Mus musculus: one gene and its partner. The protein of the gene in region 1 purifies or fractionates together with the protein of each later gene. This does not show direct contact. Links are inferred from orthologs where the notes say so. Each region holds a gene or a part of one and is shown in the gene's direction. Other genes may lie near its edges.

Evidence for each region.
Region 2: the proteins of Psmc2 (region 1) and Ubqln1 purify together in Homo sapiens (affinity purification with western blotting; 3 studies listed by BioGRID, with this or other methods). This does not show direct contact. The link is inferred for Mus musculus from reciprocal best matches to the Homo sapiens genes PSMC2 and UBQLN1.

The regions. Positions count from the first base shown.
Region 1 is NC_000071.6:21,799,130-21,804,572, forward strand, and holds the end of Psmc2 (26S proteasome regulatory subunit 7), read left to right. Parts: intron 1-293; coding exon 294-425; intron 426-806; coding exon 807-879; intron 880-1,414; coding exon 1,415-1,510; intron 1,511-2,078; coding exon 2,079-2,243; intron 2,244-3,396; coding exon 3,397-3,484; intron 3,485-3,940; coding exon 3,941-4,143; intron 4,144-4,236; coding exon 4,237-4,333; intron 4,334-4,417; coding exon 4,418-4,575; 3' UTR 4,576-4,658; downstream 4,659-5,443.
Region 2 is NC_000079.6:58,197,432-58,202,874, reverse strand, and holds part of Ubqln1 (ubiquilin-1), read left to right. Parts: intron 1-3,804; coding exon 3,805-3,956; intron 3,957-5,443. UniProt on the Homo sapiens protein: Plays an important role in the regulation of different protein degradation mechanisms and pathways including ubiquitin-proteasome system (UPS), autophagy and endoplasmic reticulum-associated protein degradation (ERAD) pathway.

The DNA.
Region 1 (5,443 bases):
AAAAAGGTGTCTGATAATGAAGGGACATGAAGAAGAAAGTCCCGCTTGAGAACCACTAATGACACTTGTGGGTTTAGTTTTTCTGGGGAAGGGTATTATCTGAAATTTTTATGGCCTAAGTCTGAGAGGCCCTGGGGGCTGGGCAGAAGGATCTTGAGCAGTGGCCCTGTGTCTGCAGTTTTGGTCTGCACTTGTTCCTTATTGCCCTGCCTGCCCTGGGAGCGATCCGCTAACACGACCTCACCGTTGGTGGTTTGGGTTCCTTACTCTCATGAAGCCTTTTGCTGTGGTAGATGTACGAAGATAATCAACGCTGATTCGGAGGACCCAAAATACATCATCAATGTGAAGCAGTTTGCCAAGTTCGTGGTGGATCTCAGTGATCAGGTGGCACCCACTGACATTGAAGAAGGGATGAGAGTCGGGTAAGCTGGCACCATGCCTTCATGTTGAATGAGAAAACAGAGTGCCGTAGAGTACTAAGGGCTGGTGCAACCCCAGGCTTTCCTCCTCTGTGAGCTCCTTGGCCTCACAGCAGCGTAGCCTTCCTGTTCCCACCGTTTTGTCTTGTACATGGCTTGATGTGTCCCAGTTAAGGACGCTCAGCTAAGGTGGAGGCAGCACTGCCTGAGAACAGTTAATGAGGACTGACTGGATGCCTGTAGACTTCCTAAAAAGTCACTCTATAACTTTCCTCTTCGTAATTTCTCTTTTGCTTACCTATAATTTGGTCTTAAACACTAGCTAGAAAAAGTCCTCTGAAAACTTAAAGAGCATCTATTTTGTTTTTATTTTTACTTCTGTAGTGTGGACAGAAATAAATACCAAATTCACATTCCACTACCTCCTAAGATCGACCCAACAGTTACCATGATGCAGGTAAGAAACCTGGGGGAGGGGACTGGCATGACTTTAATATAATTGCAAGCCAGGCATATAGTGCTCCCATCTATAACACCAGCATTTGGAAGGCTTAGGCAGAAGGATTGCCACAAACTAAAGGCAGCCTGGGCAACATAGTGAGCTTGAGGCTAGCCTGGGCTACAAAGCAAAAGCCTATTTCATAAAAACAAACAAAGCCCCCCCCCCCCCACAAAAAAGCAATTGTATCTATTCCAAAAGAGTTTGAAGCTTTTAAGCAGTTAATGGAGCTTATGCCCTAAAAAGTTACCAAAAAATGAAAAGGATTTTTGAGACGTCTTTATCAGTAATTGTCACTTATGTCATAATATGTAGCACAACAAATAGTTCTAGGACACCGCAATTAATCTCCTAACTTATACTAAATAGTTCTAACTCCTTTTTTATGAACATTCTTGTTACAGACTGGTTGTTATGGTATTAGGTTTCCTGTGGAGGATCTGGTCTGCTACTCAAAAGCCTAAGACTATGTTGTATAATCTTTCTTTCCTAGGTGGAGGAAAAACCCGACGTCACATACAGTGATGTTGGTGGCTGTAAGGAACAGATTGAGAAATTGCGAGAAGTAGTTGAAACCCCTCTGCTCCATGTAAGTAGCTGAGTGTCTTGCAGCAACTTTGTGTAAAGACCTGACAGCCTTCTATGCAGTGAGTGCTAGCACTGCCTGTGTTCCCACAGCTAATGAAAGCTTATGACACGGCGGTGGTGGGAAAAGATGGTGAGTTTCAGATGGGAGCAAGCAAAAGAATTGAGTAGCCAGGTGTATTATCAGACAGATCTGTTACTTAGATTGATAAAGGAAATTAGCAGTGGTCGATAGTACTATCTAAGTATGTTACTGTTGCTATATATAGAAGAAAATGGTTGTTTCAGTGACATGAAGAGAAAAAAGTTAAGCCTTAGAGGATAGGAACATGCCATACCTGAAAATTGATTTCTTAGGCACTATAATTTTTAAAGTGAAAATAAGTTGTTAAGGCTGGATAATTAAAGCATTTTTAAAAGTCATTTAGATATATTGATATGATTTTGGTTTAGATATTATACCTTAGAATAAGTAAAAGTACTTTAGATCAAGCATACAAATTATAGATCTAAATTATTGTTTCTGTATATTATTTTTTATCTTTATTGTATAAAATTTGTGTCTGTTACAGCCAGAGAGGTTTGTTAACCTTGGAATCGAGCCTCCAAAGGGTGTACTGCTGTTTGGGCCACCAGGCACAGGCAAGACACTCTGTGCTAGGGCAGTTGCCAATCGGACTGATGCTTGCTTCATTCGAGTTATTGGGTCTGAGCTCGTACAGAAATACGTCGGCGAGGTAAAGTGAATTTGTCAAAATAACGGCATTTATTGTTCTGTGAGAGATATGTGATATTTGCATAAAATTAGACATTAATTCCAATGAGCTGGATGTAAAGTGAATAAGTAATAAGATTAAAATTAAATTGAAAATAATAATTCTTAAGTAGGCTACTTTAAAATTTTTTGAGCAATGTTTCCTCCCCAGAAGAATGGAGTTTAGTGTAGTTTTGGTATGTGAAGTAAAACAAACAAACAAACAAACAAAAACCTCAGAAATGCTGGGTAAACAAAATTTTATCTTAGGGACAGTATTCTGTGGTTTAAAGAGAAAGAAAACATGGGTTGTCTATATGTTGAGCATGGGTATCTATACACATTGTCTAGCTAAATATTTAGGTTAAAGACTAGGGCTGTATATATTATATCTAAAACATACTGTCTAATATGCTTATGGATCACCAGAAGGGCTACCTGACTAGTATGTATTTTAATTTAATATTTTGTTCAAAGCTTAATCAAATTCAGTGTTGAGTAGTTCCAAGTGACAGATCAAATACTTCTGTTAACTCAAGTTTTGCTGGGCTTACTTCACTTAAGAATGTTCATTTCAAGCCAGGCGTGGTGGCGCACGCCTTCAATCCCAGCACTCGGGAGGCAGAGGCAGGTGGATTTCTGAGTTCAAGGCCAGCCTGGTCTACAAAGTGAGTTCCAGGTCAGCCAGGGCTACACAGAGAAACCCTGTCTCCAAAAACAAAAACAAACAAACAAACAAAGAATGTTAATTTCACACCTTCTTGTCTGAACCTTAGTGCTGTTTAGTAGTCAGGAAAGTTATGGAATACTGTGTTGAAGCTAGCAGTATTAATTTGGTAATACAGGTAGCAAACCACGGGGTTGTTTTGTTTTGAGACAGAGTTTCTGTGTTTATCCCTGCCTGTCCTGGAATTCTCTCTACCAAGCCAGCCATGAACTCAGAGATCCACCTGCCTCTGCCTCTTGAGTGCTGGAATTAAAGACATGAGCCGCGCTGCCCGGCTCAAACTTCAGGTATTTTTAAAAAGCTTTAGGTGATACTGATTGAGAATGCTGTTAGGAAAGGTGTGCAGTATATTTATTATAATTTAAAAGATTTTGAAACCAACTCTGTAATAACCAAATTTTCTTATTAGGGAGCTCGAATGGTTCGTGAGCTTTTTGAAATGGCCAGGACAAAAAAAGCCTGCCTTATTTTCTTTGATGAAATTGATGCCATTGGAGGTATGAATGATATTTTATTGATTTAGTTACTTTTTAGTGTGTGTGGTTAAAGGACAAATCTATGGGAGTCAATTCTTTTCTACCATGTTCAAACTGGGCAAAATTCCAGCCCTGAGCAAGGAAAGTGGACACAAGGTCTCATCCCTTCCCATGAAGCAGTTTGCAGTTGGTGCCTGCTGGGAAAGGAGCCCTCGTTATTCTCCAGTGGAGCGTCACAGTTTCTATCACCCTCACCCAGGGCAGGCCTAGGCCAACACAAAACAAACTGGGTTTTGTCTGCTTTTCATTTCATTTTGTTTTGCTTTGAAATATTTTGCTTTGCAATTAGTTTTATAACTTCAAAGTAGGTTGTGCACTTAGCTGTAAGGGAAGGCTGTGAGCCAAGGGGTGGCATTTTCAGGTCCTGAGTGGTGATGCTCGCAGTGGACATGAGCTGCTTCTCTGCCTTCTTCTCAGGGGCTCGGTTTGACGATGGCGCTGGGGGTGACAATGAAGTGCAGAGAACCATGCTGGAGCTCATCAATCAGCTGGATGGCTTTGATCCTCGCGGCAACATCAAGGTGCTCATGGCCACTAACCGCCCTGACACTCTGGACCCAGCGCTCATGAGACCGGGGAGGCTGGACAGGAAGATTGAGTTCAGCTTACCTGACTTAGAGGTCAAAACAGAATTTGATTTTAGAAAAAAATTCTTCAACTTTTGTCTTTTTATACATTTTCATTTTAATATATGTGAATTCCTTAATTTTTAGGGTCGAACGCACATCTTTAAGATTCACGCTCGCTCAATGAGTGTGGAAAGAGACATTCGATTTGAGCTGTTGGCCCGCCTGTGTCCAAACAGTACTGGTGAGTGGCAGGCGGACTCCCTGGTTTCCCGTCGGTCTTCAGGGCTGCCGTAATTAACAGTCGTGTTTTCTCTCTGTCGGACAGGAGCGGAGATTAGAAGTGTTTGCACAGAAGCTGGTATGTTTGCAATCCGAGCACGGAGAAAAATTGCTACAGAGAAGGACTTCTTAGAAGCTGTAAATAAGGTCATCAAGTCTTACGCCAAATTCAGCGCTACTCCCCGCTACATGACATACAATTGAGCCCCAGGGCTCTGAGTGAAAGAACTTCCTGTGCTTTTGTAACTTGTTGCCACCGCACAAAAATAAAAGATTTAAAAACTGTGTCAGTGCTTCCAGATCTCTGTTCCCTGCTGTGCAGTGTTAGTCAGCGTCCCAGCGCACTTATTCTGGAGGACTGATGTAAGTACTCTTAGCCTACCGTAGATCCTTAGGAGGTGCAGAAAGTCCACGTGTCAGGCTCCATTACCCGTTCTGACCTCTGCTACCATCAAAGCACTTCATATGGTGTGTGGCACGTGCATCTCAACGGGGTTTCATATCATATGGTGTGTGGCATGTGCATCACGATGGGGTTTTCCCATAGTAAGGGGTTTTTGAAGTAAGGTTTTGGCCAGACTGGATTGTTTTGTTTGTGGTACACGCACTGAGTTTTTGAATGCTAGGCAAACACCCTACCACTGAACAATATACCCCCTGCGTGGACCGAATGGTTTTTAAAGTTGAAGCATTCATTGTCCGTTCCCTTTTGACCAGTTCCAAATCAGTCTAGAATTGGTGATTTTAATGAACAGTGAAATGTCAGCAGGTAAAGAGGGTTAAATGTGAGGATTTAGGAAATTCAGAATTGTGTAAATTTAGAGAAAAATTGCTTCCTTAATGGTAAAATTCTGATTAAACTCACCTCTACTTTAATTACTTTTAATTGGTTAGATGTATTTTGAGGCAGGGTCCTTCTAGGAGCCCTGGCTGACTTGGAACTCACCATGTAGATTAGGCTGGTCTTGAACTCAGACCTGCCTGCCTTTGTTTCTGCCTCCCAAGTGCTTGGATTAAAGGCTTGTGCCTCCTTGTGGTTGAGTGTAATTTTTAAAAACTCATTTTTGGGCTG
Region 2 (5,443 bases), on another chromosome or scaffold:
TTACATTGGTCGAGATCACAGATAGGTGGGTACAGTGAAGAGAGGAAATTGCTGTATCAGATGTTTTTTTAGATATAATGGTTTCTTTTTGGATTTGTTTGTTTCTTTTTGGATTTCAAGACAGGGTTTCTCAGCCGGGTGTGGGGGCACACACCTTTAATCCCAGCACTTGGGAGGCAGAGGCAGGTGGATTTCTGAGTTCGAGGCCAGCCTGGTCTACAGAGTGAGTTCCAGAACAGCCAGGGCTACACAGAGAAATTCTGTCTCAAAAAACAAAACAAAACAAAAAACAAAAACAAACCCAGGGTTTCTCTGTATAGTCCTGGAACTCGAGTTCCTCAGTAGACTGGTCTGGCCTCAAACCCAACTGCTGGGATTAAAGATGGACACCACCACCGCCCGGCAGCTTCTTAGGGTTTGGGCTGGAGGAGAACAGTAACCTAATGCAGTCCCAGAGTTTCCATTCAGTGAGACTGGGTTAGACACAGAAGTGAGACGTGAGTGATGACACTCAAAGAGACTAAGACTTTAAGACAGTTTGTCTCTGGTCTGCAGTGGTCTTAGTTTCCATAGTCATTAAGTACAGGTACACTGTTTGGTTTTGTTGTTGTTGTTCTGGGAACTTCAGTGTGCAGTACCCTGAAAATACACTATCAAGTCAGTACCAAGGACCACCCTAGACGGCTGAGTAGGTTAAGGCTATGAATGAGTGGTACCAAATAAGCAAATTTATAGGCATAAATGTAAATTAGTGGGGCTTTTTGGGAAATGGGGATGGAATTAATGAGCGCACAGGAAAGTGAGAGCGGTTACTGGTTTCTCTTTGAGAATGAGGATGTTCTCTGAAATTGACTCTTAGCAATGCAGCCTATTTCTAAATACACTGAAGACTTTTGAATTACACACTTCAAGTGGCCATATTATATGGCATGTGAGCTATATATATTTGAAGACACAGAGTCTTACTGTGTAGCTTTGGGTGTTTTGGAATTTCCTGGGTAGACCAGGGTGGCCTCAAACTCACAGAGAGCTTCATGCCCCTGCTTCCCTTGAGGTGAGATTAAAGGTTTGTGTCACAATGCCTGGTGAAGCTTAAAAACATCCTTTTGTATTGGAATTTGGAGGCAAAAGTAGGAGCGTGCCTTAGGTCTAGCATCTTACCTTCAAATCTTCAAACTATAAAGTGCTATAGAACTGTACTTGTTTATTTGTGTGTGTGTTTGTGCGCGCCCATGCATGAACCACAATACACGTGTGGAAGTCAAAGGCTAGTTCTCTCCTGCTACCATGAAGTTTCCAGGGATAGATCTCAGGTTGCTGGGCTTGGCAGCAAGCCCATTTATGCACTGAGCTATCTCAATGGCCCAGCCATGGTGGCCAGTTATTTACTTCAGAATGTGAGGGAGATCAGGGCCTTTCTGAGTTTAAGATTAAAACAGTTGATATAGATCAACTTTCTCATTTTACGTATTAAATGCATTTTATTTATTTTATTTTATTTGTTTTGGTTTTTTTGAGACGTGGTTTCTCTGTGTAGCCCTGGCTGTCCTGGAAATCACTCTATAGACCAGGCTGACCTCGAACTCAGAGATCCGCCTACCTCTGCCTCCCAAGTGCTGGGATAAAAGGCTTGTGCCACCACTGCCCAGCATGTATTTTATTGATTATAATAAACCTATAATAAAAGTTTCACATTTAGTTAATATATCTTGATTTATTTTGTGTATGATCTGTATCGGTTTGGCCTTGAAATCAGACCTATGCTGGAAACCCAGTTCAGCAATTTATTATTAACACCATTTGGGGCCAAGTGTTCAATTCCTTTTCTCTGTGTTTGAAAAAAAGATTCATCCTTATAGAGTTCCTGTGGATAGAGAGAGCAGCAAGAGTGGCCACCACTACTGTGCTTGATGCTTGTATTTTATGCATTGTAATTTAAGTCTTATAAAAATATTTTCTTATATTAGGAACTACCTAACAGATGGTTGAGTTATGCTCTTTGCATAGAGAATGCTATAGAATATAAATGGTGTTTTGTGAAGATTGTTTTTTTTTTAAGTCACCTGGAAATATCTAGGTAAAAAGATTATATATCACATAGCCAAGTCTGTTGGCACACTTGTTTAATTACCTGCAGAAGCTGGTGGATTTCTGTGAGATTGAGTCCAGCCTGGTCTACATAATGAGATCTAGGATAGCCAGGGCTATGTAGAGACCTTTCTCAAAAAAATCACCATCAACAAAAAGATTATATAACATATAGTTTCAAATGGGAGGGTGGGGCTCAAATGTGAAAGTTCCAGAATATTTACTTTAGTACATTTTACATGTATATGCTTTTTGGCCTTTTCAAAAGTTTGTTTGTGTGCATGAGTTGAGAAGGTAGGTTGTAAAATCCATGTTGTTGGGTGATGTGCTCAAACCTGTGATGCCAGGACTGGGGAGGCTCCACTGGGAGTTTGAGGTCACTCTCTGCTACAGAGTGACATCCTGTCTCAGAACCCAACCAACCACACAGAATGATAGGTGTATACGCAGTGTTGAGACTTACCTTGAGGGTTTCGTTCATATATAAATGTACAGAATGCTTTGGTTATAACATGCAGCAGTGTTTTCTCTGACTGGCCTCTTCCTGATGGTCCTGTGACAGTTTCCTCCCGAGACAGGGTTTCTCTGTGTAGCCCTGGCTGTCCTGGAACTCATTTTGTAGACCAGGCTGGCCTCGAACTCAGAAATCCGCCTGCCTCTGCCTCCCGAGTGCTGGGAGTAAAGGCGTGCGCCACCACGTCAGGCTCCTGTGAGAGTTTTGAGCCTTAGATGTGCAGATGCTGAGTTTCCCTCTCCCACGTGATCTGAGTCTGAGACCTTTGCGTGACAATGTGACACGTTTTAGATTTGGGATATTTTTAAATTAGGGTCACTTACTGATGTTAAAGACAACTTAGCGGCTTCCAGAAGTATTTCCAGTCTGGAACACTGAGCCTTTTTCATTGGATTCATGTCTGTGTAACATGTTTCATTGTGGCAGTGGGTAGGTAGACTTGTAATGAAGAGACTCTAGGTTTCAACTGTGGTGCTCTGGTGTAGTCTGTTACTGTGGGTTCCCAGGCCACTCTGAGGTAATTTGAATGAAGCCTGGATACGTGGCTAGTTAGTAGAGACTTAAGGGATGGTAAGCGTGTCTGCAGTGTCTTGTTCTTCCTCTGCATTCGCAGGCCGTTCTGCTCCCCTGCAGGCAGTTCTCCAGGTTCTCCTGATATCTTCCTAGTATTTCTTCTTTTGGTTTTCAGTTCTGGAAAGCCTTCTTTAACTGTCTTTGTGCTTTCTCTGTTTATAATTTATTTGAGTCTCTGGAAAAGATTTCCCTGTTTCCTTCTTGCTTTTCGGTGGTACTGCTTGGCAATAGGCATTGAATGAAAGAAGTGATAAGGATAGTAAAAATGGCTGCGAATGTGAGCTTGCCAGTGTGTGTGTACTGGAATTCAAAAGAGAGGGGGCTAACGATGGAGATTGGGGGGACAGTTACAATAAGCTTAGCAAAGCCCCTTTGTGACCCCTACTCCATTGGGTCCTGTTGGCAAAAGAAGGAAACAAACACCGCGTCGTCTCCATCTGTGCAGGAGCCACAGCCCTGACATGTGGAGTGAGTCCTTCCTGTTAGAGACGGGATGGTTGGTTGCACGCTGAGGGGGAGATGCAGCATGCTTAGTAGGGCCTCTGGAAGAACTTCTACAAATCAGTCTGGGTGGTACTGTACAAACTTCGATGTTATTAAAAACATATGTAATTTATTCTTTTATTTAGTTCAAAGAGGAAATCTCTAAACGTTTCAAATCTCATATTGACCAACTTGTGTTGATATTTGCTGGAAAAATTTTAAAAGATCAAGATACTCTGAGTCAGCATGGGATTCATGATGGACTTACGGTTCACCTTGTCATCAAAACACAGAACAGGTATGTCTGTTTACATAACCAGTTCAGGCTCTAAGGAGCGTTCCTTGTTAGTATTTAAAGCACCTTTCTTTGTATCTCTTGGTTGTTTGGTGAAAAACAACATTGTGACTCCATGCCTTCCTAGTATCTGAATGGTTCTGTGGGGAGGGTTGAGGTGCAGATCCTGGGCCCACCCCCATTTAATACTTTGCAAAATTCAGCTGGTTATTATGTAGAACATTTTGAGTTAGGTAACAACTTGGTTTTTTAGCTGTTTTCTTTAGGGAAAGTTTTAGACATGGTTTCTGTAACATGTTAGCAGAGTATAAATCATTAATGTGTGATAAATTTTTGAAAGAAACTTATTATTGTTCTGGATACCATCTAAATTTTTGTTTCATCATTAGTAAAGAAACTTGGTCAGACTTACTTGAATTTGGAATTTTCTTAATCTCATTCCCCTATACAAATCATCTAAGATGACGTAATGGAGTAAATGACAGGAGCCTCCTAAACTTAGCATTTTATTAGTATTACCTTTGTGGCTAGCCTTGACTTGCCATGCTGCCTAGCAGGGGTTAGCCTGAGTCTGTGACTGTATTGCCACACTGGGTTTCTTTTAGAGACAGAAGGTCAGTCTAGTCCAGGCCAGGGATGAATTTGCTCCTCCTGCCTTGGCCTCCTGAGCACTGGGGTCACAGGTGCACTCACTCAGAACCGCCGGTCTTACGTTCTGCCAACGCTTCCTTTGCTATATATAGACTGCAGTTGAAAGCATTGCAGTGGAGTATCTTACAAGAGCTTGCTGTAGCATCTGCTCTAGGAGCAGCTTCTCGGTCATGCATACCCTAGCAGGCTTTGTGCTGTTCCCCTAAGACCTGATGAGGAAGCGTGTTCTTCCTGTGCTCCTGTGTACTTGATAGCTTCTTGCATGAGAGTGGTATAGCACAGAGCACACATATGCGGACGTGGTGGTTCATGCTGGGATGTGAAGCACGTGTAAGGTAGATTATGATTTCTGAGATGTTGAAGTGAAAACCAGACCTTTGAATCAGTAAATGATGTGGTAAGATTCATAATCAAATTGGTGTCAGATGAGAGAGACTTCTCTAATAAAGCCTGCTGCTCTAAAGAACTTTAAAGATGGCACCCAGTAGTTAGTGTCAGAGCCCTGGCCAACTGAACAAGCTGGCTCCACTCCTTGTCCTTATTGAAACAGACAACTAATGCTGATGATGAGAAGAAAAATCCACTGAATGTCACACTGAGAAGAACAAGATAGAGACCAGTGACAGCCTTGCCACCCCCAATCTTCTGAGTCATGACATAAGGTTAGACTTAAATAGAGGGTGAGAGGCATACATAACTAAGTAATCCTGGGAAAAGAAAGGCCCTGCCTAGTGACCCACCTTTGTCTTGGCTTCAGTCTCTTCTACAAGGTGGCCTACCTACACAGTTGTCAAAGGCTGTGATGAAATCACTTTCCAGCTGGCAGGCTCGCCCTGTGG